Linked DNA regions of Ovis aries. The protein of the gene in region 2 interacts with the protein of the main gene of each other region in a pairwise test. Links are inferred from orthologs where the notes say so. Each region holds a gene or a part of one and is shown on either strand. Other genes may lie near its edges. The genes, in order: PSMF1, PAK5, CCNG1, UXT, ATPAF2, TUBGCP4 and INKA1.

Region 1 (4,234 bases), about 57 Mb from region 2:
ATATTTATACTCTCCATGTACAGCATTCAACCCACCAGAATTTCTTCTTGGAATATATATAACTGGGCCTGCTCACTGCCCTGTAACATCTGGCTTCCAGAGCAAGAGACACTACTGGGGTCTGGCGCGGCTGATACCTCTCACTGCAGCAGAACCAGTGTTCCCCAGCTCAGTGCCTGCCCTGATACTGGAAAAAAGGTGGGACTGAAAAGAGACTGGCCTTGGTGATATCAAATCAAACATGGCATTCAACTGCCTTCTAGACCAGGACATCAATATCAGACCTCCCAAAGAGCTACAACTGGAAAGTAGCCAAAGTACATAGTTGTGTAGTTTAACTGGCTTGGATGAAAACAATCTAAGAGCTAAGAGGGGGCTATGGCAACCCACTCCAGTATTCTTGCCTGGGGTATCCCATGGACAGAGGGGCCCAGCAGGCTACAGTCCATGGGGTAGCTGAGTCGGACATGACTTAACAACTAAACAACAAGAGGGAGCTGACACTTGCCCAAGGTCATGGTAAGTCAGGTGCAGAGCTGGGTTTGGCATTCAGAGCTCCTGGTTGCCTGTGTTATGGCTAAAGATGCCCACCTCACAAAGTAAAAATAGCTGTCCCCTTAGGCAAAATCCTGGGGCTGGAAGTATTCTTTAATGGAGGTGAGTCCATCCCAGTATCCCTCGGCTAAAATGTGTCTCAAAAAGATCGTTTCAGGCATTTTCCTCTTTTGTCATAATCTTTAGATTCCTACAACAAAACACTAAATCCTCGAACTCAAGCCTATGGCCATCTCTATTCCCTGGCCACCTAAACCACCTGACAGAGCTGTAAAGTTCTTACGAGGTGTGGTGCTGACTTCAAGAGAGAAATCCAAACTCCATACTGAATTTTTGATTGAAAATGCATTGTTCTTCTAATCAAGTTTTATGTACACAATTTTCCTGAACGAGAGAATACAGAACCAAAGACAAAAGGAGACAATTTAGCTTTCTATTTAACTGTCAACATAGTAAATGATCAAGTAGACAATTTTAGGACCTTCCTCTCTCTCTTATCACCCCTAGAAGGGTGGAGCTTCAGACAAACAGTCTCTGAACTCTGCAAACACTGCTGGTGTCAGCTGAGTCTGCTGGCCCCATGCTGGAAAACTAAAACCTCTCCTGAATAAACTAATAGGAAAGATACTCCTCCAAAAGGCTTCTATTCTGAATGAAAGTAAACACAGAAGTGAGAGGAGGACAAGCACAACCTGAGCCCCAGAAGCATTTAAGGGCAGAGAGAAGCAGAAATACACCATGCTCTAGTGTACAACACAAACACCCATCCCCCAGGGGCACATGCTTGACCTAACACTGGGGTGGACAGATGGACAGTGGGCAATGCTTTCCAGAGCCCCATCTGCACTCTCCTGGGGCCTCCCCCAAGAGGTCTGGAGCCAGCAACTTTTTGTTTTGCATTAACTCAACACGTGGCAAGGTAAACAGTGTGCACCTCTGAGATTCAGTCAGGGATCTTTTTTTTAGACCAAATCATGTTCTTTCTTAAAACCTGGAAGCCTGGAGTACACGACAGGGGAAAGGTGGCGGTTAAGAGCAGGCAATGATCCACACGGACTGAGGTCTCTAAGCTGTCAAAGTGTCTCCGCTGACAGGATCTGTGCAGGAAGGGGTCCAAGTCAGTGCTCACAGGAAGCTGATGTGTACCATGACAGTGCGAGGGAGAGTCGCAGGGAAGGGGCAGGGAAGATGGGAGAATGCTACAGCAAAGAATCAAGTGAGGCAGGCTGGCCCCGGCAGTCCTGGGGCTCTGTGGGGCCTGCAACAAGGCCCCCAGCTGTAAGAGGCAGAGTCTGAGAATGAGCAGGAGAGGCTGCTACTGTAGGGACAGCTATGGTGAAGGAAAGTTTACTTGGCCTTCACACCCAGGATGCATGTGGGTGCATGTTGGGGAGGCGGTTGTTGGCCTGGAGCCTGAGTTCAAGACGACAACGGTGAGTGGGCAGCACAGGGCCCTGCAGTATAGAGTGAAGGGTGTCGAGCCCTCTGCTCTTGATTGGAGCTGAGTCCAAGCGCTCCCCTATACTGGTGTCCCTCTATATGGTGCTTGGATCCAGGTGAACGCTCCAGTACAGTAGGAGGGTGGTACTGAATACAGCCCTCTCCCCACCCAGCTGCTTGTGAAGGAGTTCGGTGGGGTTCGGGTAGGTGAGGAGTGCTCAAGGGAGCTCATTATCCCCGTCTCGGTGCCAGAGGGCACAATCTCAGCCTGGGAGAACGCCAGCCGGTGCTGGAGGGCGTTTCTGACCAAGGGTTTTCAAATCATGTTGTGCCAGCTAGAATGCAACAGTAGAGCACCTCCCTGAGCCGCAGACTACAGGTATCAAAGGTGTCATGAGCCTCAGGGCCCGGACCTGCGAAGGGGGAAGGTCGGGCACTCTGGACCAGGCCTCTGTTCTCCGGATTCGGGCAGAAGACGCCTCCCGCCTCCACAATGGTCCCATGCCACCCTGGCTCCGTGGCGTACCTGGTCGCCGGCACCCAAGCCGTAGTAGCCGTGCGTGACCACCTCCCAGTGCAGGAAGCAGACAAGCGCGTCCTGCGCGCAGGTGATGGCCGGCGCAGCCGACGCGAACAGTACCTCCAAGCCAGCCATGGGCGACCCTGGCTTCTGCGGGCGGAGGAAGGGAGGAAGAAAGTGCGGTGAGCCGACAGGGCCCTCACAATACTCCTGACTCTTCTCCGCTACTCCGCAGGTCGTGGTCTAATGTCAACCTGCGCGACCAAAATGGAGACACCCAGGGGCGGAGGTGTGGCCACCGGAAGTAACTTCCAACTCCCGCGCTCCCTTACGAGAGCGCCCGGCTGGAAACAGAAGGAAGACTCTTAAAGGTTCCGCCAGGCAGAACATGGGCAGGGCAGGACCCCTGGGAGCGAGGTCTTTCAAAGCTGGGATCTCCATCTTCTCTGTAGGTGGTAGGTGTGCTATACGTAGGTTGTGGCATCGTTGAAGAGAGGCTACCTTTGTTTTGAGTCACAGACTTCTGCAAAATAGGGTGGGTGTATGCTGGTAGGAGAAGAGATTATGAAATAAGATTAAAACATATTCATAGAAATAGTCGGCACTTAATGCAGTGCTTGCTCCATGGAACGTTATTGTAAATGTTTTGCTTGTATTAATTTATTTAATCCTCAAGACTCAACCCTATAAAGTTGGTATTTGATAGCTCCATTTGGCAAATGGGTAAACAGACACATGGGGCTTCCCAGGTGGCTCAGTGGTGAAGAATTTGCCTACCAAGCAGGAGAGGCAGGTTCTATCCCTCGGTCCGGAATATTCCCTGGAGAAGGAAATGGTAACCCACTCCAGTATTCTTGCCTGGGAAATCCCATGGACACAGGTGTCTGGTAGGCTACAGTCCATGGGTTCGCAAAAGAGTAGAACACAATTTAGGGACTACACAACAGCAACAAACACACACAGAAGAGTGTATTTGACCAAGATGAGTGAACAGTAGAGATGGTACTGCAATCTAGCAGTCTGGCTCTTTGAATATTAATTATTTATTGTGTGCTGGATCCTGGGTGAAAAACTTCATATCACTCTATCAAATGTTTTATGAAATATGTTCCATTATCATTCCCATTTTGCAAATTTAGCTCAGATGGAAAAGAATCTGCCTGCAATGCGGGAAGCCTGGGTTCCATCCCTGGGTTGAGAATGTCCCTTGGAGAAAGGAATGGCAACCCACTCCAGTGTTCCTGCCTGAAAAATCCCATGGACAGAGGAGCCTGGCGAGCCACAGTCCACAGGGGTCTCGAAGAGTTGGACACAACTGAGAGACTAACACTTTCACTTTTCACTTGGAGAATGGAAGCTGCTTCCCCCAAGAAGACGCAACAGCTGACTGCAGAGCTGATCTACTTCCAAATGTCAGTCATTTATTTGACTGTCTTCTTCCTGATTTGTACCACTTACTGTTTTTACTCAGATAAATTTAGTTTTCCGGTCCCAGTCACCACCCTCCTGCAAGCCACCATCATCCCCCACTTGAATGTCTGCACCAACCACTAAATTGCCTTACTCCATCTCTGACTCCTGAAAGTCTGTTCTGCACTCTGCAACTAGAGATCCTGTTAAAATACACACCAGATCACATCTCTCCTCTGCTTGAAACCTCCTGGGATTCCCATCACACTCAAAAGAAAAGTAAGTCCTTCCCATTGGTCTGCAGGAACC
Region 2 (3,500 bases):
ACTTATGGAAAGTCAGAGTTATGAGAAAGTGCTCTTGGGAAGATAATACCAGTGACAGAAGTGACAGAGCAAACTGGGGAGGGACCGAACCTGAAAACCTTACCCGGCCATCGCTTGTCAGCAGGATGGAGTCACTCTTTATGTCCCTGTGGATCACTCCTTGGTTGTGAAGGTAGGAGAGAGCTCTCAGAACGGACAGACAGACAGTAGCTATCTGCTCTTCATTCATTCTAGAAAGGAAATCACATTGAAGGAGCTAGGTCAGGTTAAGACCATCTTTGAAATGATTAAGAGAGGTAGCTCCCTTGGGTTCCAGTGAACCAGTCCATGCTCCCCAGTCCATGTCTGGAAAACCTACAGGGAAGGAAAAGGAAGTCTTTGGGACCTGATTCCCAGAACCTAAGGCTTAACCCTAACGATGACAGGGGCCAAGTATAAACTAAAGGAAAGGGAGCCCTACTGGCTGGTCTTTGGGTCATTAGAGCAACTGCACTTGCTTGGACTTTTACAGGTAATTCCCCAGGTACTGACACAACGCCAGGGTCTTGTAGAGAGGACACATTGAATGGAGCTATATTAGTTCCAGGAACGGTTCCTAGGTGATCTTGAGGAAGTCCTCTAATGTCCTTGGGTCTCTTTTTCCTCATCTTGGATATGGGCATGATCATGGTTCTCCTCTTGGACTTCCCTTGTGGCTCAGCTGGTAAAAAATCTGCCTGCAACGTAGGAGACCTGGGTTTGATCCCTGGGTTGGGAAGATCCCCAGGAGAAGGGAAAGGCTACCCACTCCAGTGTTCTGGCCTGGAGAATTCCATGGGCTATATAGTCCTTGTGGTTGCAAAGAGTTGGACACAACTGAGTGACTTTCACTTTCACAGTTCTCTTCAGGCTTCCCTGGTGGCTCAGATGGTAAAGAATCCACCTGCAATGTGGGTAAACCTGGGTTCGATCCCTGGGTTGGGAAGAGTCCTGGAGGAGGGCATGGCAACCCACTCCTGTGTTCTGGCCTGGAGAATTCCATGGACAGAGGAGGCTGGTGACTACAGTCCATAGGGCTACAGAGTGACCAGGCACACTTGCACGCACACACGCACGCGCGCACACACACCATCTGTCTGTATCTATATCCATGTAGGGCTGCTGTGGCCTCTGGCTGTACTAATAGGAATCTGCCAGCTGAAATGCTGGTGATAAATGCTCAGTGTCTTCCCTAGCATCGTTTTGTTTTCAGCTGGTCTACCGCTGACTCAGAGCTGTAGGGGGTCGTGACTGAAACACTGCCTCATTACAGTGGAGAAACAGCAGAAACTCTGCCCTCACATGGGTTCCCAATGCTTTCTTGCTATCTTGCTTCCCCTCTATTGTTGCTCACTTATGATTTGGATGCCATTTCAGTGACATCTGATATAACTCCTTCATGACAATCCTTTCAATTCTTTGGCATTTTATCTACCAGAAGAGCAAACTTAAAGTTTCCTAAATGTACATGATTTTTTTTTTTAACATATATGTTCCTTTGAACCTTGCTTTTCCAAGCATGGTCTATGAACTAACAGCATTAGCATTGCCTGGGGGCTCCTTCGAATGCAAAGTATCACTCTATTCACTATTGAATCAGGATCTGCATTTTAATAAGATCCATGGGTAATTTGTATGCATATTAAAATTTGAGAAGCACTGTTTTAGCACGTACTCTTTCATTTGCTTTCCATGCCCTTTTCTTCCCACTGGCCTTCTTAGTAAACTCCTATGCAGCTCTCAAAACCCATCTTGGACATTGCTGTTTTTCAAAAATATTTCTTGACGCTAATAAAGATATTCAGGTGATCTTCTATGCTACTCATGTACATCTTTCTGATTCTGCACAGGTGTTATAATTTTTTTTATTTTGTACCCCCAGCATTTAGGAAAGAGTCTGGCACATAAACAGTGATTAATATGTACTTGACGAAATGAACACAAGTGGCATATCAGAGAAGCAAGCAGCTGAGGCAACAGGCGCAATTAGCCATCGTTACTTGCAAGGCGATTTGAAACAGAATTGAAGGATCTCTCTCTCTCTCTCTCTCTCTCTCTCTCTCTTTTATGTAGTTTATTGTTAAACTACATAAAACTTTGCTCTTTCACCTGCCCCTGCCTTTCCCAGATACCTTTGGTAGTATCAACACATAGCAAATGGCCTAGCAGCTCAGAAGAATCAAATTCAGTTTTAGAAATCTTCAGTGGGATGGGAAATTCTATTATTTATCACTTAAACTCAATTCTCAGCAGCTTGCTGATTTAAAATCGGTATCAGTGAACTCCTAGAGGGCAGGGAGAATGTGAATTGAATGAATGAACTATACATACATGATATTGTAATAGGCACCTGGGAATACAGAAGTAAGGGCAGTCATTTCTCTGCCTTCAAAGTGCTTACAACTTATGAAGAGTTCATAGAAGCAGTTACTAAGGTCTTACCCTGGGGAAGAATAATAAGCATCGTGAATTATTTGTCTGGATAATAAGAAACTTACCTGGTATGAGTAACGATGTCTGTCAAGGCACCACCTTCTAGGAATTCCATGACCACCCAGAGCTCATCACTAACAAGGTAGCTGTTGTACATGTCAACCACGTTGTCATGGTGATAATCCCGCATTATCACAACCTGGGCAAAATGGAAAGACACTATTTGACTTACGAAGGTGAAATTAAGCTTTTTGTTTTCTTGTGACTACATCTGGGCTGTGAGTTTAATGATAGAGAAGTAATGATGGGGAGGGAGAGATAGATTCAGAAGTCTATTACAAATAAAGGAGCAGTGCTGGGAATTGCTGGTAGGAATAGAGGTGACGTTAGCAAAGTCAGAGAAAACAGCAGGTCAGTGAGACTTGGGAAGAATCAAGAATAAAGACAGGCAGAACCATAGAAGGGTCTCCATTCACAAGAGTGAGGTTAGGTGACTATTCTGGGGGATGCGATCAGATTTCTCAGGTTGCTCTTAAAACCCACTGTGCATGCTCTGCTGTTGGTTAACTGGGCAAAAGGGTCACCAACGCAAAGTAACTGAGTCTCATAAGTGAATGAAATTAACAGTCATTAGGGTTTGGGCCTCCTGAGACCAATTTAACTTCTTGGGAGGTCTGTGTTGAGTCTGAAACAGTTTGGGCTGAATACAAAGGATAGGTCTTGAAGGTAAAAACATTAGGATTTAAGCATAAAATGTCAACTTGTGTCTGCTTGCTAGAGAGAACATCCAGGAATTCCTGTCCTGGGGCTGCTTGTGGTGACACTTTCAGAATCAGTATTGAATAATAAATTATACAGTTATTTATCTAAGTTCATTTGTCCCGTCTGTTCCGGCATTGCAATTTGGAAATAAGTTTCAGAAATCAGGAGCTGTGGATCGGGAAGAAGCTGGGTCCCACTGACCTGGTGCTGTCTGTGAGGTCAGGAGGGTGGGAAAGAAATGAATGCCTATGGGAGGTAGAAATGCACGGAGCTACTGGTGGCTTCGC
Region 3 (4,044 bases), on a different chromosome or scaffold from region 2:
ATAATTTGCGCCAAAAAAGAAAAATTTATTCTACAACTACCAAGGTTTCTTTTCATTTTAATAAATCTGTTTTTGAATTGAAAGTCTCTTTTTCCATAAATTCGTGTTAGATGCTTGCCTATTAGGTTCTGTAAGTTAACTAGCCTATAAATGGAAAATGTAATGTTAAAAAATTTACCATCTTAAGAATTCAATGACTCCAAGATGCTACTTTTGACTGAATGTCTCCTCACTTTTGCTGGAGAGTAAAGTGAAACTCAAGGGGCTTAGCTGTCATTTTACTTGATTGAAATTCTCCCAACATACTGATTTTATGTAACATCCAGACAATATTCTGGTTTCTACATCCCTTTGTTGAAAACAAAGCTCACATACCTTTCATGTGGCACGTTCTCTTGAAGGAGTGAATAATAGAGCTGTAGAAACTGAAAGGCAGTAGTAGCTCTGACTTTCCAACACACCTTCTCCAATACAATCTTCTCCATTCTCATCAAGTCTGAAACCGTGAACCTGTACTGGCTTATTCGGATCAAGTCAGTTGCCAGTGGGACATTCCTTTCCTCTTCTGTTGATTTTACAGCCAAATAGAAGCAGCTTAGTCCAACACACCCAAGGTGCTTGGGCTGTACCTAAAAAGACAATAAGTCCATCTCTACTTTATTTCATTTAAAAAAAAAAAACAAAGTATAATCAAACTCAGACCCATCACTTTGAAAAATGTATTTGTGAGGTGAATTTCTCAGTGGCAAAGGACTTAGCAAGATTCACTGATGCCTCAACTGCAGGCTGTTAGCCATATGCACCCACTTGGAACCAATTTCTGAGTAAATCGAGTAAGTTTCAGTGTACTGTTTGGCTTCAGCACGTAAAAATTCTTAGTTCTTTTGGTTTTTTAAAATCAAGGAAGAATGATAAGCAGTAAATTACTTGGTCAAAAACTTATATGAGGATTGAAATATCTTACAGCTTATACACAAAGTTTCTTTTCAGAATGTTGTGTTTTTCCAGGCTGTTTTCTCTGTAGTAATACTTGTGAAATGTTTTTAAACTGTGACATATACTGTTCATTCTACCTGTGAAGCTCTATCCACTACCAAGTTTTTAAATTTATCCATCATTTTCTGAATGTCCACAATCAAAATTCTATCCAGTTCATTTAGAAAACTTAATTTTGGCTGTGCTGGGCCTTCCTTGCTGTGCGGGCTCTCTCTAGCTGCGGAGAATGGGGCCTGTTCTTCACTGTGGTGTGTGGGCTTCCCCTTGTGGTGGCTTCTCTTGTTGCGGTGCACGGGCTCCAGGGTGTGCGGCTTCTGGGGTCTAGACCACAGGCTCAGCAGCTCTGGCACAGGAGCTTGGTTGTCTGGCCACGTGTGAGATCTTACCAGACCAGGCGTTGAACCCCAATCTCCTGCACTGGCAGGTGGATTTTTTACCACTGAGCCACCAGGGAAGCCCTCTATCCACTTTAAGTTGTAGCTCAACTGAAGCTTTTAAAAGCTTTTACCAATATTTGGGCTCTCCTCTTCTTAGAACCGCTTCAGCAATATATTTATATTTCTTTTGAAGTATAATGTAATTCTTTTCTTATTATTCCTTGTACTAATGATAGTTATAAGTGCAAACATTACTCCTACCAAGATTATAATATACTTAAGTAACAGATGCATGTCATTCACCTATGACACATTTAGAATTAAAGGTAGTGCCTACACATGGTGTCTAAAAGAGTTATTTAATTAGACTGTTGAACAAGTTTCTTGAACCATTCAACAAACATTGAGTTCTTTCCCTATATGTTGCATTCTGTTAGGTACTTTGAATAAAACATGAGTTTCATTTTAAGTGTCACATTATCTACCAACAATCATGGACACAGAGAAGTCAGATATATTTTTAATAATTAAACTCTGAAAGCTACACAGATGTCCTGCTTAGCCAATACAGGGTAACAACTGTATATCTCCTCCTTCAGAAGATACTCTCTACTATATGCAAACGTAGGCTGGAAATGCCAAGCATAGGCATGACTTAGGTAAATGTAAGGCTAAACCAGTTGGAACTTTATTATATATGAACAAAGATCAAGAAATATACTCTATTGACCAGGTGGTAGACAGCATGAACAGAAAGGAAAAAAAAAAAAACCCTCTAATTTTTAACCCACAATCTAGCATTCTGCCTTTAACACATTTCTTTAAAAACAACAGTAAACAAATGAAAATACCCAAACTATCAAACAAGACTTTTAAAAACAGCCAGCTCTCCTACTGGGAGGCTTTGCAATGATTTGATATTAGACTATTATTCAATGTCAGAAGTTTAATAGCTGATGCATTACTCTTGATTAAAAGGAAGAATATTCATCATGCTATAGTACACAGAATTACCACAACGTTTTGGTTACTTGCTGAAGACAAACCAAAAAAAAAAATGGTCAAGTTATAAATACCAGCCCAAAGCTGGCAATACCATCTCGAAAACACATTGAGCAAAATCACGAAATACTCAGGGTAATGCAGCTTTAAACATACCTTCATTTTAGACAGGAATCTGTCCAGTAAATTCACAGCTAGAGAAAATGTCTCCGTGTCAAAGCCAAAGAACTGAGTTAGACTAAGAAGATCTTTTACTTCAAAGTCCCTCAGTCTCGCAGTCATTCTAAGGCCATTATCATGTGCAGATTCAATTAGTCTCAAGCCGCAGACCTTTGGCTGACATCTCAACTCCTGTTCCAACAGGGCATTCAGCTGGTGTAGCAGTTTCTGAGAGTCAGTTGCTGTCAGTACCTCTATCATCTATATATAGAACAAAGCCCAGAAAGGAGTGAAAGAACAGCCCTTCCTGTCCTGCCAGGTGCCTTATAACACAAGCCTCCCCTCTCTCAATGCTGTTAGTGAATCTCAGTCATTGCCAAGGGCCATCTGTTATTCTCCCCCTCCCCAACCAGTTGGTTACATCCATCCTAAATTGTGACTTCCTACACGGCCTTTTCCAAAAAAAAAAAAAGCTAATCTTCATGCCCAAACTTTGAAATTAGAGGGTAGTATGTATTCTGTCGCTTAGTAACAATGTTGGCTATTCAAGTTAGTCAATTTTTCTTAGTCCTCAGTTCCTAATATGTTAATAGGTTATTAGCCATTTCATAGACTTATGTAAAATAAAGGTAAAGAATCTGCTTGCTATGCAAGAGAAACGAGTTCGATCCCTGTGTTGGGAAGATCCTGTGGAGAAGGGTATGGCTACCCACTCCAGTATTCTTGCCTGGCGAATTCCATAGGGTCGCAAAGAATCGGACACAACTGAGTGGCTAACACGTTCAGTTTCAGGTACACAGGTATCTAGCACATATAATAGGTGCCTAATAAACACTTGGACAATATTAATAAGCTTATTTATAGTCCGTAAAACGAGGCAATATCTGCTTCTTTAAATGGCTGTTAGATTAAACGAGATGATTCAACTAACGAGTTTAGCATAGTGCTAGGCACTTGTTAACTTTTATTAATGTTATGAAAGGAAACTCAGGTGTTAAGAGCACACGCAGTGGGGACAGGAGGCTAATCCATCCTGCAAGAGGAACCTGGGAGTTTCATTAATTTAGGGCAATACTGAACGCCTACTATGCCCCAGGCACAGGATACATGGACAGTCCCAGCCCCCAACAACCGAAAGGCAAGAAGCAGAGCATCTCCAGGGTTGAGCGACGGAAGAGGTGGACAGATGTGGAATCACAATCTCCATGGAACCAACTTTTTCGCCCCCGGGCTGGTGCCTGGGACCACGCCAACTTGACATTAAGACGCCTAGGGAGGTCTAATCTGGCCCCGCCCCTCCAGGCTCGGACTAGCCTGAACTTGTTGCTCGGTCTAGAGTTAACCAAGGAAAAGGGCGCGAGACGAACCCTCCACCCCGGCCCCTTACCCCCACCCCGCGCCCCCAACCCTGCTCCGTAGCTGCACCCTGCAGTCAACCCCGAAATCCCAGCTCACCTTGATCGCGACTGCAGCTCCTCAGCGGTAACCACCCTCCCCGGGCCTGCTCTCA
Region 4 (3,977 bases), on a different chromosome or scaffold from region 2:
AACATAGGAACTCTTTCTAATGACAAGATAACCTATCTTGGGCAGAGGACTTCAGCAACCCTCTATTTGACGCCCCAATTAAATGACGTGATCAGCCATGAAATTAAAAGATGCTTTGCTTACTCCTTGGAGGGAAAGTTATGACCAACCTAGATAGCACATTCAAAAGCAGAGACATTACTCTGCCAACAAAGGTCCGTCTAGTCAAGGCTATGGTTTTTCCAGCGGTCATGTATGGATGTGAGAGTTGGACTGTGAGGAAAGCTGAGTGCAGAAGAATTGATGCTTTTGAACTGTGGTGTTGGAGAAGACTCTTGAGAGTCCCTTGGACTGCAAGGAGATTCAACTAGTCCATTAAAGGAGATCAGCCCTGGGTGTTCTTTGAAAGGACTGATGCTAAAGCTGAAACTCCAATACTTTGGCCACCTCATGAGAAGAGTTGACTCATTGGAAAAGACTCTGATGCTGGGAGGGATTGAAGGCAGGAGAAGAAGGGGACGACAGAGGATGAGATGTCTGGATGGCATCACCGACTCGATGGACATGAGTTTGAGTGAACTCCGGGAGTTGGTGATGGACAGGGAGACCTGGCGTACTGCAGTTCATGGGGTCACAGAGTCGGACACAACTGAGTGACTGAACTGAACTGAACTGATTAGACATAGTGCGTTATCAACCTCTGCTTGAACTCCAGTCATGGACTGCGGGCTACAGAGCTGGAGTCGTCAAAGGTGCATATCAGAAAATTTGTCTCCTTTTCAAAACTTATGTTTAATGCTGACATTTATTTCCATTATTGAAAGTCAAACCCAAGCTTCCCTTGTGAAAACTCAAAATCCAGGGCGATGCAAGGATATACTTTCCTTTTTACAGACCACATTCATAATCTTTTCTTGCCCGGCTGCTTCTGAAGCTCTGACTTTTAAACACCAAAAGCTGTACTCGCTCTGTGTGTACCGCCACCTCCGGCACCCGCCAAATCCCATTAAACCCCACCCCCAGCAACAGTGCACTATCCCCATAGGCTTGTTGCGCAGTCCAGGTTCCCACGCTCTTCAGCCTTTCTTAATCAGCGGATTTCTTAAAGCCCCGCCCTTTCCTTCTCTCCGGCGTTTTTTTCCGTTCAGGACTGCCTCACCCACCCTGGTTATTTGGTTGGCCAGCGCCCCCGCCGTACGTCATTTACCCGCGCCACCCGGAAGCCACGGTTCTTACTAACACTTCTTTTTGCCGGCGGCTTTCAGGTAACGGCAGCGCTTGGGTGTCCCTGTGTGATGGGGTCCCAGAGCTGGGAGGGGCGGAAGGCTGAACCCTCGGCATAAGCCGGACGACTCAACTCCCAACACTGAAAAGGTGCAGTTGCACTGTGCTTGAGACCAAACTGAGACCAGTGGTCTTCAACGTGGTCTTTCTCCCTCCCCATTCCTCAGGAGCCCATCATGGCGACGCCCCCTAAACGGCGGGCGGTGGAGGCCACGGCGGAGAAAGTGCTGCGCTACGAGGCTTTCATCTCTGACGTGCTGCAGCGGGACTTGCAGTAAGTGACAGAACGGGGGGCGGAGCTATTGGAGCGGTCCACGTGGTGAGCGGGGCGTTCGAAGTCAGGGCCTGGCCTTCTGATTGGTGGGTGAGGCGTTCAGAGCCCGGCCCCGTGCGCCATTCGAGGAGGAAGGAGGGGCGATATCCGGGGTGCAGCGTCGGGTGAGGAGGGAGACTTGGTGATTTAATGGTGCCTGTGTACGCGCATGCGCGGCTTCCGATGACCTTAAAGGGTTAAGAATTAGAGTTCTGAAGCTGGAGTTTTCAGGTTCGAATCCTGGCTTGACCATTTTGCTTTCCGTGTGAATACATACTTCGCCTCCACTTGCTGTGCCTCAGTTTCCTCATCTGTGAAATGGGGAAGTTAATGCAGCCTTCCCCACGGCAGTGGGTTTGTGTTTTCAGTGTATTCAGTCCTTGTAAAGGGTTTAACTTGGATACTAGAGGCTCAATGAGTATAAAAAATTATTATTACTATCATTATTAATCAGAGCAGGAAGGAGAGTGTTCAGGTCTAGGATTATGAGCTCCTAAAAGAGATGGAGGATTTTTTTCTAGGGTGAGAATGTCATATTCTGATTGGAGGGAGGCATTGGGAGTAGAGTGTAATAATACTTGTAAATAAGAGCTAACTCATATAGAGAAATTTGTTTGGAGGGCACTATTCTAAATGCCTTATAGTAAATACTCATTTAATCCTCCTAATGACTCTATGAAGTAATACTCCTCATTCCTATTTTTAAAATGGGGAAATTGAGTTCCAAAGAGATTACTCACTTGCCAAAGTCACACAGCTAGTAAAATGGAAAGCCTGGATTCAAACCGAAGCAATCTGACCCAGAGGCCAAACCTTGACTTCTGCACTAAAATTCCTGTTTAGACTCTGGTGACAGGAGAGTCTCAGGGGTTCATGGTGTGAGATATTCCAAGAGGGACAGGGTTTCCTCTTGGTCACCATTTTACTCTTGTCCTGTCATGTCCCATCAGAAAGGTCCTGGACCATCGCGACAAGGTATATGAGCAGCTGGCCAAATACCTTCAACTGAGAAATGTCATTGAGCGACTCCAGGTAAAGATGCCAGGGTTAGGTAGTCTTTTTGTGGGCAAAGGAGGGGGAAGAGAGGAGATACCCAAGACCAAAACCTGTCACCTGACCTAAAAGTTGACCACTGATCCCTACCTCTTTTTCCCTGGCCCCACAGGAAGCTAATCACTCGGAGTTATATATGCAAGTGGATTTGGGCTGTAACTTCTTCGTTGACACAGTGGTGTGAGTATCTACCTGCCCCTCTGAGCCCACAGGGTTCAGCTTCCCTTTTCCTTCATTCAGCAAATACTTTTGTTAGTATTTGCTATGAACCAGACACTGCTCGGTGCTGAAGATGTGACAGTAAATAAAATAGGACAAATTATCTGCCCACCCTGACCTTCAGTTTGGGGAAGGTGGAGGATGGGGAGTAAAATAAATATTAAACTGTGTAGTATGCTAAACAGTGACAAGGACTTCTCCACTTCTGATCACCACTGTTTCCTTAGCCCAGACACTTCACGGATCTATGTGGCCCTTGGATATGGTTTTTTCCTGGAGTTGACACTGGCAGAAGCTCTCAAGTTCATTGATCGTAAGAGCAATCTCCTCACAGAGTAAGTCCATTGCATGAGGATACTGTCTAAAACAACACCATTTGTAACATCCTTCTTCCCCCTTTCACCCTGGCTACCTGGGATGGTACCTAGGAACCACTTTCCCCTCTCTCTAGGGGAGAGAACAGTGGGGATGCAAAGCTTAGCCCCAGGTGTAGCACATAATAAGTACTCAATAAATGGTCTCTGTATTGTTCACTCACACAAAAACTTATTGGGCATTTGCTGTATGCCAGGCTCTGTGCTTGGTGTTGGGGAGGCAGTATGAACAAGACAGAAGAATTCCTTGAAAGCTTACATTCTACAAGGGCTATAACTATTACACATCAGCACAGTTTTGACCAGATCCTGGAGGTCTCAGCCTGTAAATCAGTAACAGTAAAACAAGTTACCTCTGACTTCACCTTCTGCTAATTTTCCTGCTCATTCACTGTGCTCTCATCACATTAACCTTCACAGGCTTCTTTAAATGCCCACAAAGTGATCCCACCTCAGCACAACTGCAGTAACTGTTCTCTGTCTGCCTACAGCACTTTCCCCCCGATATATGCATGGCTTCCTTTTTCCTTATTCACTTGAAGTCTTGCTTAAATGTCACTTCCTATAACCTAACTTGAAAATTGCAACCCTTGCGCTCCTGATTCCCCTCCCTTGTTCTACTTTTTCTTTTTTTCTGTAGCACTTATGACCTCCTAATGTTTACTGTGTGATTTACTTTTTTATAATGTTCATTGCCTGCTCCCATTAGGATATAAGCTTTGCAAAGGGAGAGATTTTGTCTACGTCTCAAGTCA
Region 5 (4,121 bases), on a different chromosome or scaffold from region 2:
AGAGACTACAAAGGAAGCCCTGACATGTGGATCAAAGTTAAAAATACAGTAAGAGGGTCCCCTAGAGCCAGGAAGGAGGAGAACAGAGAGATGGGGAGGTCTGGGCAGACAGATGGACAGAACAGGAGTGGACTGGAAGTGGAAAGAGGGTGGGGAGTAGGGAGTGTCAAGAGTCTGAGCCAGGAAGAGACTATGGGTTGGGGGCTAGGAGATCAGCTTCTAACAGACTGTGAGGAGCCCACTTAGGATGTGAGTGCCCAGGCTAAGGAATGGGCCAGCAGTCCAGGTGGGATGGGGGCCCTCAGGTCCCGGGGCTGATGGAGAGAGGAGGCGGATGAAGCTCTGCCGGGGAGGAAACCCCCGGAGAAGGAGGCGGGTCCCAGGGCCTGGGGTTCATGGGACCGAGGAAAACGTGGGAGGCAGCAGGCACGTCTAGGGCCTGGGAGCGTCCAGAGTCAGAGGGAATCCCTGGAGAGTTTCCCGGACGGGGTCCGAGAGGGACTGAAAGAAAGACTGTTGCCGGGGCGACAGGCCACGGGGAGGCAGGGCCGGATCTGAGGCGGCCGGTCCCCGGCTCGGGCCCGCAGGGTTGGGGTGCGCCGGAGGGCCCCCGGCAGGCCCGGGCAGCAGGCCCGTCCGTGGCCGCGGGCCCCAGGGGGCGGCGGCGTGGCCCGGTCCGTGGACGTCTCGAGAGGCCGGGCCGCCGGCTCACCTGCAGCACTACCTCCACGTCGTACGAGTTCCCCTTGCTCTTCTGGTGGCCGCGGAACTTGGAGCCGCTGTAGAGCAGGCTGGTGGCCACGCCGGGCTGCTGCGTGTTGATAGGCGGCGGCGGGATGAGCGAGGCGGCGGAGGCGGCCGAGGCACCGGCCGGCGGGGGACACTCGGTGCGGACCGGCATCGCGGGGTCCCCCGGAGCCAGGGCTGGGGGAGGGGGAGGAACCGCCGCCGCCGCGCGGAAGCCGAGGGCAGACGGAGGAGAAGCCGGCGCGCGCGTAGGGCGGGAGGGGTCCACCCGCCGGCCGCAAGCAGATCGAGCGCTCCGGCCACCACCGGGACCCCGGGACCTGCGAGCAGGGCCTCCGGGTCCTGAGCGAACCCCCTCCCCGCCTGCGCTCGCACACACACCCCTTCCGATTGGCTCGGGCGCGCTGAGGGGCGGGATCAGGCTGGCTCGGCGATTCCGCCCATTGGCGGGCGGGGAAAGCACGTGGCGGGAGCCGAGGCCCTCTGGTACTTGTAGTCTTTTTCCCGAGGCGCGGCGCGGGGGCGGGGCCGGGGCGTTTGTGATGCTGATTGGCTGCGGCGTGCGCTGAGGCGCGCGGCGGCGGCGCGCTACGAGTGTCGTGCGCAACATGGCGGCGCCCCAAAAGGGAGAGGGTGCCGGCGACTGGTGAGGAGGTTTGTGGAGTTCGAGCACACGGCGTGTGGTCCCTCCGCTCCTTTTCCCCGAGCTCTGGTTTCGAGCGGTCGTTCTCTGAGGCCCCCGCGCGATGTGGAGGAGCTGCCTTCGGCTGCGGGATGGGGGGCGTCGCCTCCTGAACCGGCCCCGAAGTGGCCTCACCGCCTCCGAGGGGCTGGGGCGAAAGCCCCCTATCCCCTTCCGGGCCTACGTGCCCCCGGCAGGTGAGAGAGGCCAGGGCGGAGCAGGCTGAGGGGTCGGCCATGCAGGGTCACACGGTGGGAGGGAAGTTCCCCGCGAGGGCAGGGATCGCTCCAGGGCACACGCGCGTCGTTTCCTTTTGGCAGGTGCGGTTTTTCTCTCTTTCACTGGGGAAGCAGAGGTCATCCTTATTTTCAGGCGGGGAAATTCGACTTCTGGGTCGGGATTGCGCTAGAGGCGCGAAGCAGACTCAGAGGTTTGCGGGGCAAAGGCCAGTCTGCTAGGCTGCTTTCTGTGTCCCCGCGACCGGCACTGAAGGGGCCTGAAGCTCGGGCTTTAAGTCTTCCATCCCGGCCGCTTGCTCCACAGCTGTCCTGGCCCTGCCTCCTGCTGCCCTCCCAGAACACCTGCCACCTCTTCTAAGGAGTTGACACCCCGTGCCCCCTTCCTGCACTTCCGACTCGGATGAGGCTTTCTGTAGCGGATCTTTCTTACTCCTAGGCAAAGATTTTGGGATAAGAGTGGGACTGACTTTAAGTGAGTGAAGACAGTAACGCTTTCTTTCCTGCCAGTTAGTACTGTGCTGAAGGTGGGGGTGAGGAGAAGGTCACTGCGGTGTTGGAGCTGTTCCGAGGTCGCCCGTGTGGCCTCCAGTCCCCTACCAGCTGTCCCAGCCATCAGCTGCATAGAGAAGAAAGGTCTTCAGAGAGCCTGCCTGTCCAGCTGAGGAGTACACCGGTGAAGTCAAAGCTGGGGGTCTCTGCTTACAAGTTGTCTTGTCTGCACAAGTGGTTTAGCGTCTCATTGTCTGCCTCCTCTAAAGAGACAGCTTGTGCTGGATTGAGGGAGATGCTGTAGATAGGGAGGCCAGCCTGCCACCTGTTTTTGTAAATAGTTTTCCAGGAACCCAGGCCCGCTCATTCACTGACACACACCTAAGGCTGTTTTCACTACAGTGCAGAGTTGGCTGGTTGTGCCAGACACTGGATGGCCTGCAAAGCTTAAAACACTTTGGCTTTTTACAGAAAAAGTTTGCCAGCAGTGCTGTGGATGCTAGAGCGGTTTTGGGGAAAAGTGTTTAGTCATCTGGCCCGTTTATAGTAATTGCTGTGGTAGATACACTTGCCCTGAAGAATTTTAAAACAGCCTTACTGAGATGATGCATTTAGAATTCACTCACTTAGATTGTACAGTTTAATGGTCCCTAATGGCTCAGATGGTAAAGAATCCACCCTTGTTGCGGGAGACCTGGGTTCAATCCCTGGGTTGGGAAGATCCCCTGGAGGAAGGGCATGGCTACCCACTCCAGTATTCTTGCCTGGAGAATCCCTGTGGACAGAGGAGCCTGGCGGGTTACAGTCCATGGGGTTGCAGAGTCGGACATACTGAGCGACTAAGCACAGTATACTCAGAGTTCTGCTGCCATCAGTTCTGGAACCTTCTTATGACACCAAAGGATCCCTGTACCCATTAGCTGCCACTCTGAGTATCCCCCTGCCCCACCCCATCCCTCCAGCCCTAGACAACCACTACTTCACTCTCTATGAAGTCAAGTCGCTCAGCCGTGTCCGACTCTTTGCGACCCTGTGGACGGTCGCCTACCAGGCTCCTCCCTCCATGGGATTCTCCAGGCAAGAGTACTGGAGTGGGTTGCCATTTCCTTCTCCAGGGGGTCTTCCTGACCCAGGGATTGAACCGGGGTCTCCCGCATTGCAGGCAGATGCTTTAACCTGTGAGCCACCAGAGATCTGTATCTATAGATTTCCCTATTTTGGACATTTCATATAAATGGAATGTGGTCTTTTTCTCCATTTAGCGTATATCCAAGGTTCGTCCTGGCTTCCCTGGTGGCTCAGACGGTAAAGCATCTGCCTACAATGCAGGAGACCCTGGTTCGATCTCTGGGTCCGGAAGATCCTCTGGAGAAGGAAATGGCAACCCACTCCAGTACTCTTGCCTGGAAAATCCCATGGACGGAGGAGCCTGGTAGGCTACAGTCTACGGGGTTGCAAAGAGTCGGACACGACTGAGCACCTTCACTTTCACTTTCACAAGGTTTGTCCTAGAGTTAGCGCATGTCAGTACTTCATTCTTTTTCATAACTGGTAATATTCAGTTTTGGGGACACACCATGTCTTATTTACCCAGTCAGTCATTGATGAACATTTGGGTGGTTTTCATCATTTGACTGTTCTGAATGCCTTTGTAAACACTTGAATACAGGTTTTTGTGTGAGAATGTGTTTTCGTTTCTCATAGGAGGTACCTAAAAATAAATAGGACGTCCCCAGTGGCTCAGGGTTAAAGAATACACCTGCAAGGCAGGAGACCCGGCTTTGATTCGTGGGTCAGGAAGAGCCCTTGGAGAAGGGAATGGCAACCCACTCCAGTATTCTTGGCTAGAGAATTCCATGGACAGAAAAGCCTGGTGGACTGCAGTCCATAGGGTCACAAAGAGTTGGACACAACTAAAGCAATTTAGCACACACGCAAGAGCAGACTTGCTGGATCAAACGGTA
Region 6 (4,195 bases), on a different chromosome or scaffold from region 2:
TTAAGGTTATACAGTGGAAGTGAGAAATAGATTTAAGGGCCTAGATCTGATAGAGTGCCTGATGAACTATGGAATGAGGTTCGTGACATTGTACAGGAGACAGGGATCAAGACCATCCCCATGGAAAAGAAATGCAAAAAAGCAAAATGACTGTCTAGGGAGGCCTTACAAATAGCTGTGAAAAGAAGAGAGGCGAAAAGCAAAGGAGAAAAGGAAAGATATAAGCATCTGAATGCAGAGTTCCAAAGAATAGCAAGGAGAGGCAAGAAAGCCTTCTGCAGCGATCAATGCAAAGAAATAGAGGAAAACAATAGAATGGGAAAGACTAGAAATCTCTTCAAGAAAATTAGAGATACCAAGGGAACATTTCATGCAAAGATGGGCTCGATAAAGGACAGAAATGATATGGACCTAACAGAAGCAGAAGATATTAAGAAGAGGTGGCAAGAATACACGGAAGAACTATACAAAAAGATCTTCACGACCCAGATAATCATGATGATGTGATCACTAATCTAGAGCCAGACATCTTGGAATGTGAAGTCAAGTGGGCCTTAGAAAGCATCACTGCAAACAAAGCTAGTGGAGGTGATGGCATTCCAGTTGAGCTGTTTCAAATCCTGAAAGATGATGCTGTGAAAGTGCTGCACTCAATATGCCAGCAAATTTGGAAAACTCAGCAGTGGCCATAGGACTGGAAAAGGTCAGTTTTCATTCCTATTCCAAAGAAAGGTAATGCAAAGAATGCTCAAACTACCGCACAATTGCACTCATCTCACATGCTAGTAAAGTAATGCTCAAAATTCTCCAAGCCAGGCTTCAGCAATACGTGCACCGCGAACTCCCTGATGTTCAAGCTGGTTTTAGAAAAGGCAGAGGAACCAGAGATCAAATTGCCAACATCCGCTGGATCATGGAAAAAGCAAGAGAGTTCCAGAAAAAAACATCTATTTCTGCTTTATTGACTATGCCAAAGCCTTTGATTGTGTGGATCACAATAAACTGTGGAAAATTCTGAAAGAGATGGGAATACCAGACCACCTGACCTGCCTCCTGAGAAATCCGTATGCAGGTCAGGAAGCAACAGTTAGAACTGGACATGGAACAACAGACTGGTTCCAAATAGGAAAAGTAATATGTCAAGGCTGTATATTGTCACCCTGCTTATTTAAGTTATATGCAGAGTACATCATGAGAAACGCTGGGCTGGAAGAAACACAAGCTGGAATCAAGATTGCCAGGAGAAATATCAATAACTTCCGATATGCAGATGACACCACTCTTACGGCAGAAAGTGAAGAGGAGCTAAAAAGCCTCTTGATGAAAGTGAAAGAGGAGAGTGAAAAAGTTGGCTTAAAGCTCAACATTCAGAAAACGAAGATCATGGCATCTGGTCCCATCACTTCATGGGAAATAGATGGGGAAACAGTGGAAACAGTGTCAGACTTTATTTTTTTGGGGCTCCAAAATCACTGCGGATGGTGACTGCAGCCATGAAATTAAAAGATACTTACTCCTTGGAAGAAAAGTTATGAGCAACCTAGATAGTATATTCAAAAGCAGAGACATTACTTTGCTGACTAAGGTCCGTCTAGTCAAGGCTATGGTTTTTCCTGTGGTCATGTATGGATGTGAGAGTTGGACTGTGAAGAAGGCTGAGCGCCGAAGAATTGATGCTTTTGAACTGTGGTGTTGGAGAAGACTCTTGAGAGTCCCTTGGACTGCAAGGAGATCCAACCAGTCCATTCTGAAGGAGATCAACCCTGGGATTTCTTTGGAAGGAATGATGCTAAAGCTGAAACTCCAGTACTTTGGCCACCTCATGCGAAGAGTTGACTCATTGGAAAAGACTCTGATGCTGGGAGGGATTGGGGGCAGGAGGAGAAGGGGACGACCGAGGATGTGATGGCTGGATGGTATCACGGACTCGATGGACGTGAGTCTGAGTGAATTCCGGGAGATGGTGATGAACAGGGAGGCCTGGCGTGCTGCGATTCATGGGGTCGCAAAGAGTCGGACATGACTGAGCGACTGAACTGAACTGTTTGTATATTAGGCACTGTGTATTTGGTCTAGCTTTCAAAACTCAGTTTAAAACGTTGTGCAAGCATGAAGATGGGAGAAAGGGCCTCTCTCAGTTTTACATCTAGTTCTCTAGCAACTCTCGCCCAGACACTTTCAACCTTAGGCCTGGTCCGGGATTCCCTCCTCCCCTAAGGCAGAACCAATAGGGATCCACCCTTCGCTTTCCGCCTAGGCCCAACCCTCTCCAGGTGTCTAAACCATCCGTAAGCCCCTAGGGCACAGCCCTCAGGTTACCCGTCCAGGGATACGCCCCCCACGCCTTGGTCCTTGCCAGCCCCGCCTTCTTGCTCCCTCAGACTCCTCCTCCCAAGCGCTGGCTCGGGTCCACCCATTCCGAGCTCGCCAGTTCCCGCGCTCCGAGCCGGATAGTACCTGGAGGCCACTCCGCTTGTTCCAGGTGAAAATGGACCCTGGGTACCCGCTCAGAGCCAAGAGCAGTTCGTGGATCATTCCCACGGCGGACCTCGAGTCCCTATATCCGTCGCGCCCTCCTCCAGGGCCTCAGCTGGCGACCAAGGAGGCGAGCGCTCCCTTCTCTATGCGCGCACAGGTCTCCGGGACGCACTGTTCCTCCTGACTTTACCCGCCGAGACAACTGCAGGGGAGACCGGACGGAAAGCAGCCGGCGCGCCGCGTCCCGGAAGTGCGCCGCGCTCGGCTGGGCCCCCTCGCCGGCGGCAGCCGGTGCCCCGCAAGAGTCGCGGGAGCTGCCCTTGCGCATGCGCCTTTGGCTCCCGAGGCACCCACTCGGACTTCCGGTTTGGAAGCTGGACTGGGAGGCTGGCGAGCCCGGGCTGGAGCCAGACCCTGACTGGGTGAGGCTGGCCGGTGGGCAGAGATGCGAGCGGGTTGAGCGATAGCCTGAGTGGGAGAAGCTCTCAGGTGTGGGCCACAGGGTGCTCTCAGGGCGCCTTAGTCCGGTCGGAGGCCTCCGGAGGGATTCATGACGGCTCCGAGTGACCTGGCCGGAGGGAACGAAAACAAAGAGGCCGGAACCCCGCACCCGCCGCTCCTAGACCTGAGCTCCGCGCTCGCGAACCTCGCAGCCCTCGGAGCGCCTGCCCACCACCCGAACTCGTCCTCAGGAGACCCATGACTACTGCCCCTTCGGAATTCCTCTCTCCACCAACTCAGTGTGACTCTCCCCAAACCCACTCGGACCTCGCTTCAGGAGCCAAAATCAACTTCTCTCAATGCGCGAGGTTTCCCGTCAGTAGTTCCCGGATGTTTACTGAGCGCTTACTTCTGCTGTGAGGGAAAACAGAGACCCAGTATTTAGTACTTGATTTTTGTTTGGGGTGGGAATTGGTAGTGGTGGAGTCTCAGGGAGCGGGGCGGGCTGTGAGGGCCTGGGGAAGGACAGTGGAGAGCAGCTTGCTACCCGCTGGACAGAGGCTTTGTTACCTTCAGCAGAATGGTGACCTGCCTTTAGAACCTTCCGAGCTCCAGGTCTCCCAAATGGTTCGAACTCACTGGTTAGGGGAGCTCAATGGGTCAGATTTGGGGGCGGCGGAAGAGTAGACAGTACTTTTATCCTTTGCTGCTTCTCCGGGCTGCCCTGGATGTCGGCCAGAGATGCAGCCTTTGAATGGCCTCTCACCTTCAGGCTGTTTTGACTTCCTGACCTGAAGCTGGTGCTACCTCAGATGACCACTTGGAGCATATGGGCAGTCAGGCCAGCTCTGGCAAGACCCTAGACATACATTCCTTCTGATAGTGCCATCTCTCTCTGCCCTAGGAGGAAACTGCTTACAGAGACAGACTCATCTGCAGGTGATTCCCCAAGGACATGGGAAGATGGGCCTAAGCCCTGGAACCTAGACCTTTAAGTGAAGGGAAGCTGCTTCCTGCTGTGAACCATGGCCAAACCCACCCTGAGAGGGAATGGCTCTAACTCTGAGGCCTTCCGACAGCGCTTCAGGAAGTTTCATTATCAGGAGGTGGCTGGGCCCCGGGAGGCTTTCAGCCAACTCTGGGAACTCTGCTGTCGTTGGCTAAGGCCAGAGGTGCGCACCAAGGAGCAGATTGTAGAATTGTTGGTGCTAGAGCAGTTCCTGACCGTCCTACCTGGGGAGATCCAGAACTGGGTACAAAAGCAATGTCCAGAAAG
Region 7 (3,530 bases), on a different chromosome or scaffold from region 2:
CCTCTGTCCACATGTCCACAAATGGCCATTTGATTTTCTTCTCCAAGACCACTCTTTTCCAGTCTTGCTTGGTTGATTCGTACCAGTTCCATCCAATCAGTAGTTCAGCCTGGAAGTCTAGGAGTCATGCTTCTCTTTGTCTTCCCATACTCATGTATCAGCAAGGCTTGATTTTAACTCCAAAACATACCTCAAAGTATGTTTGCTCTAGACCTACCCAGATCCAGGCCCTCCCTTCCCTTGATGGATGAGGCAGGAGCCTCCACTCTTGACAGCAGAGTGGTTCTCCCAAAGCAGCGATTATCTAAACAGCAGCCAGCCCAGGTCATTACCTGCTCAAAAGCCCTCTAGCGCTCCCCACCACACCAAAAACAAAACCCTTTATTCCCTTCTAAAATGGCTAGGAGCCTGGTTTTGCTGACCTCTTCAGTCCTCTCCCCCTCCCCTCAACTACCACCATGAGAAATATCTAGGCCTTCCCTGGTATTTTCCTGTCTACTGACTTATCTAGTTTGTCTCCAGTTAGTCTGTGTCGTTGAACCTAGCCCTAGCCACCTCAGGGAACGGCTCTAATCCTTTGGTCAAAGAACTCCCTGCGGTAATCCCCTGCATTCACTCAGCCTGCCTGTAGTCCGGGATAGACAGGATGCGGGTGTTGGGAATCCCCACGAGAGGGCAGCCCTGCTTAGCTCGGCCGAGGCAAGAGACACGGGAGTGGGAGGCTGGGCCTCGGCCGGGGCTCCTCTCCGGTGCTGCAGCGAGGTTCTGCGCTCCCTGAATCCTCGGAGGGGCCGGACCCCTCCCATGACTTCCAGGGACGGTGGAGGCCAGCTCCAGGAGCGGATTCAGTGGGTCGGACCACGAGAGGGCCACAGCACTGCCGAACCCGACGATTGGGCCCGATCTACCCGCTCAAGGGCGCAGCCGCGGTACCCGTGACCTCCAGAGACCCCGGCGGGAGGGACCACAAATTTCCCCTGGGAATAAATGAGGAAACTGAGGCTGCCGCAGGGGTGCGACTTGTCCTGGGAGTCAGCTCAACGGCCCGGGACTACGGGGACTCCCGGGCCGGATCCCGCCAGGTTTCCAGCTACAGTCCCGCCCTTCCCCATAAGAGCTGCTTCTAAGGAGTGGGTAGTGGGCGTCAGGCTCGCCCACCCGGCAGGGCCCCGGGGGTGGAGCCACACCAGCCCCGCCCCAGCCCCATTGGCTGAGGCGCCAGGGGCGGGGCGGGGCCGCCAGATGTTGGGGCGGCGGCGGCGGCGGCGGAGGCAGCAAGAGCTGGGGAGAGGGAGGAGCCGCGGAGCCAGGCGGAGGGCAAGGGCGCCGCTGGCCGGCCCCCCGGGCCCTCTCCGCGCCGCTCTTGCTGGAGTTTGAAGAGGAACTGGCAGGCCTGGAGGGGGCTGCGGCACGGACATGCACAGCGCTCGGCTTGACAGTTTCCTGGGCCAGCTGCGCTGGGAACTGGTGAGGCTTGGGGGCGGGCGTGGCTCGTGAGGACTAGTGTGGGGTGCTCGGCTGCCTTCCTACCCGAACGACACTCGGATGGGGGGGAGCTGTCCCGAGTGCCCATCCAAGAGAGGATGGGGGCGGGGCGGCGTAGATGGCCCAGATGGCCCGCGTCGGGTTTCGGACGATTGGGAGCTGCGCTGGGCATCAAGTAACAGCCGCCCAGCTGGCCGTGCTGCTGGCGCAACGCAGGAAGTTGTGGGGGAGAAACTTCTTGGGCAGAACAGGGGCTTTTACGGAACGAAAAAGGTGGTGGGGCTACTACTGATGCCCCTTATTCCAGGCTGGCGTGTACCTCTTGTCTTCCTGGAAGGTGCTCTTTTCTTCTCTGAAAGAGGCTGCGGGCTTTGGGGAGCTGAATCCCTCAAGAGGCACAGGGTTCCCCCCCAGCCCTGAGCAAGACCTACTTCCCCATGCAGGCCCACAACCCTGCCTCCCGCCCTGGTGGCGGGTACCAACTTGCCCGGCTCTGCGTGCTGCAGCCTGCCGGACTGCCATCAGGTCGGCCAATGGGAGCCACACGAGCTTCGTGTGCCAGCGCCCCATGCCGACCTGGTGCCCGCTAGAGGCCTTGCTGCTGAGGCCTCCTGGGCCTTCTGTTTTGGAACTGGCCTGATCAGGCAGGGCGGAGTGACCAGCACTGCTCCTACCACTTCTGCCCTCTCTTCTTCCACAGCTGTGTGGCCGGGACACTGGCTCACCCCCAATGCCTGGTCCCCTTCCGCCACCCCCCAAACACCGCCCAGGCGTGCGGCTCAAGCACCAGCTCAGGGCCTCAGATGCGTTGGAAGAGGACTCGGTCTGTGGTGTGGAGGAAGAGGATGACGAAGTAGGGGTGACAGGAGACAGGAGTGCAGCCTTTGGGGGCCCCAGGGAGCACGGCCTGGACTGGGACTCTGGCTTCTCAGAGGTGTCGGGCAGCACATGGAGAGAGGAAGAGCTGCCCGTACCCCAGCACCCAGCAGCCTCGGCATGGCCCCCCCGGAGACAGCGCCTCTCAACCAGTGGTGTTGCCCAGCCTAGCGGAGCGCCCATGGCCCGGGTACCACCTGTCCACCGACCACGGCCCAAGTCCACCCCAGATGCCTGCCTGGAGCACTGGCGGGGGCTAGAAGCCGAGGACTGGACCACAGCCCTGCTGAGCAGGGGTCGTAGTCGCCAGCCCCTGGTGCTGGGGGACAATTGCTTTGCGGACTTGGTGCACAACTGGATGGAGCTGCCCGAGGCAGCGGGTGAGGGGGACAATGGGGGTGGGCCCCGTGCGCGTGCTCGGCCCCCCCAGTTCCTGCTGGGCCTCTCTGAGCAGCTGCGGCGCCAGCTAGCCAGGGCGCGCCGGGCAGCACTGGCAGGAAAGCGACTGTCATGCCCACCTCGCCCAGAACCCGAACTACCTGCGGATGTCTCACGCTTTGCAGCCCTCATGAGTTGCCGCAGTCGGCAGCCCATCATTTGCAATGATGTTGTCAGCTACCTCTGACCCTGCCCTCCAGCCTGGGACAATAAAGGCCTTTCTCTGGACAATCCTGGTTCTGTACCCCTCGAGGCTCCAGGAGGCAGCGCCAGCCCTGCAAGGCACAACTCAGGCAGGCGAATCAAAAGAGCCTTTTCCCTCCCCTGCAGGGGTCCTTGTCACGCCTGTGTCACACGCCATGTGTCTGCTCCATCACCCGTCCTGTCCACTGAACACCTTCCTTCAACAAGTGTTTATTGAGTGTCTGCTGTGGGCTTGGGACGCAGGGCTCGGGACGCAGGGCTCAGGATGCAGGGCCCGATGGAGCTGGGCGGTGGGGCTGCTGCCTTGTCACAGCTTGTAGTGCAAGCGTGGAAAGTTAGTGTCATACTCCTCGCCCTCATAGCCAAGTTCCAATACCAGCACCCGCTGCCCAGGCTCCTTCTTCACCAGCTCTGTCACCCTGGCGTGGGGGGAGGGGGTGGGGAGATTGGATAGGTGAGTGGTGACACAGAGTGTCCTGGCATGGGCTCCAGGGTGCTGGGGGGCCAGAAGGAGCCCAAGCTAGGAG

The links.
Region 1: the proteins of PAK5 (region 2) and PSMF1 interact in binary tests that used the Homo sapiens proteins (3 or more experiments, as listed by UniProt). The two-hybrid records come from large-scale screens. The link is inferred for Ovis aries from reciprocal best matches to the Homo sapiens genes PAK5 and PSMF1.
Region 3: the proteins of PAK5 (region 2) and CCNG1 interact in binary tests that used the Homo sapiens proteins (3 or more experiments, as listed by UniProt). The two-hybrid records come from large-scale screens. The link is inferred for Ovis aries from reciprocal best matches to the Homo sapiens genes PAK5 and CCNG1.
Region 4: the proteins of PAK5 (region 2) and UXT interact in binary tests that used the Homo sapiens proteins (3 or more experiments, as listed by UniProt). The two-hybrid records come from large-scale screens. The link is inferred for Ovis aries from reciprocal best matches to the Homo sapiens genes PAK5 and UXT.
Region 5: the proteins of PAK5 (region 2) and ATPAF2 interact in binary tests that used the Homo sapiens proteins (3 or more experiments, as listed by UniProt). The two-hybrid records come from large-scale screens. The link is inferred for Ovis aries from reciprocal best matches to the Homo sapiens genes PAK5 and ATPAF2.
Region 6: the proteins of PAK5 (region 2) and TUBGCP4 interact in a two-hybrid assay, tested with the Homo sapiens proteins (2 studies listed by BioGRID and IntAct). The two-hybrid records come from large-scale screens. The link is inferred for Ovis aries from reciprocal best matches to the Homo sapiens genes PAK5 and TUBGCP4.
Region 7: the proteins of PAK5 (region 2) and INKA1 interact in binary tests that used the Homo sapiens proteins (3 or more experiments, as listed by UniProt). The two-hybrid records come from large-scale screens. The link is inferred for Ovis aries from reciprocal best matches to the Homo sapiens genes PAK5 and INKA1.

What each region holds. Positions count from the first base shown.
Region 1 is NC_056066.1:59,660,170-59,664,403, forward strand, and holds the start of PSMF1 (proteasome inhibitor PI31 subunit), read right to left. Parts: upstream 2,801-4,234; 5' UTR 2,651-2,800; coding exon 2,522-2,650; intron 1-2,521. UniProt on the Homo sapiens protein: Plays an important role in control of proteasome function. Inhibits the hydrolysis of protein and peptide substrates by the 20S proteasome. Also inhibits the activation of the proteasome by the proteasome regulatory proteins PA700 and PA28.
Region 2 is NC_056066.1:2,412,651-2,416,150, forward strand, and holds part of PAK5 (serine/threonine-protein kinase PAK 5), read right to left. Parts: intron 2,651-3,500; coding exon 2,517-2,650; intron 231-2,516; coding exon 104-230; intron 1-103.
Region 3 is NC_056058.1:72,691,151-72,695,194, reverse strand, and holds the start of CCNG1 (cyclin-G1), read right to left. Parts: upstream 2,801-4,044; 5' UTR 2,796-2,800; coding exon 2,532-2,795; intron 630-2,531; coding exon 376-629; intron 1-375. UniProt on the Homo sapiens protein: May play a role in growth regulation. Is associated with G2/M phase arrest in response to DNA damage. May be an intermediate by which p53 mediates its role as an inhibitor of cellular proliferation.
Region 4 is NC_056080.1:57,168,937-57,172,913, forward strand, and holds the start of UXT (protein UXT), read left to right. Parts: upstream 1-1,177; 5' UTR 1,178-1,244; intron 1,245-1,430; 5' UTR 1,431-1,439; coding exon 1,440-1,537; intron 1,538-2,526; coding exon 2,527-2,608; intron 2,609-2,741; coding exon 2,742-2,809; intron 2,810-3,075; coding exon 3,076-3,183; intron 3,184-3,843; exon of another isoform or gene 3,844-3,977. UniProt on the Homo sapiens protein: Involved in gene transcription regulation. Acts in concert with the corepressor URI1 to regulate androgen receptor AR-mediated transcription. Together with URI1, associates with chromatin to the NKX3-1 promoter region.
Region 5 is NC_056064.1:34,270,626-34,274,746, forward strand, and holds the start of ATPAF2 (ATP synthase mitochondrial F1 complex assembly factor 2), read left to right. Parts: upstream 1-1,321; 5' UTR 1,322-1,493; coding exon 1,494-1,626; intron 1,627-4,121. Other genes in the region: GID4 (glucose-induced degradation protein 4 homolog), read right to left, coding at 713-901. UniProt on the Homo sapiens protein: Plays a role in the assembly of the F1 component of the mitochondrial ATP synthase (ATPase).
Region 6 is NC_056071.1:52,949,140-52,953,334, reverse strand, and holds the start of TUBGCP4 (gamma-tubulin complex component 4), read right to left. Parts: upstream 2,801-4,195; 5' UTR 2,536-2,800; coding exon 2,458-2,535; intron 1-2,457. Other genes in the region: ZSCAN29 (zinc finger and SCAN domain-containing protein 29), read left to right, coding at 3,945-4,195. UniProt on the Homo sapiens protein: Component of the gamma-tubulin ring complex (gTuRC) which mediates microtubule nucleation.
Region 7 is NC_056072.1:50,476,862-50,480,391, reverse strand, and holds INKA1 (PAK4-inhibitor INKA1), read left to right. Parts: upstream 1-1,302; 5' UTR 1,303-1,416; coding exon 1,417-1,467; intron 1,468-2,185; coding exon 2,186-2,986; 3' UTR 2,987-3,030; downstream 3,031-3,530. Other genes in the region: UBA7 (ubiquitin-like modifier-activating enzyme 7), read right to left, coding at 3,311-3,422. UniProt on the Homo sapiens protein: Inhibitor of the serine/threonine-protein kinase PAK4. Acts by binding PAK4 in a substrate-like manner, inhibiting the protein kinase activity.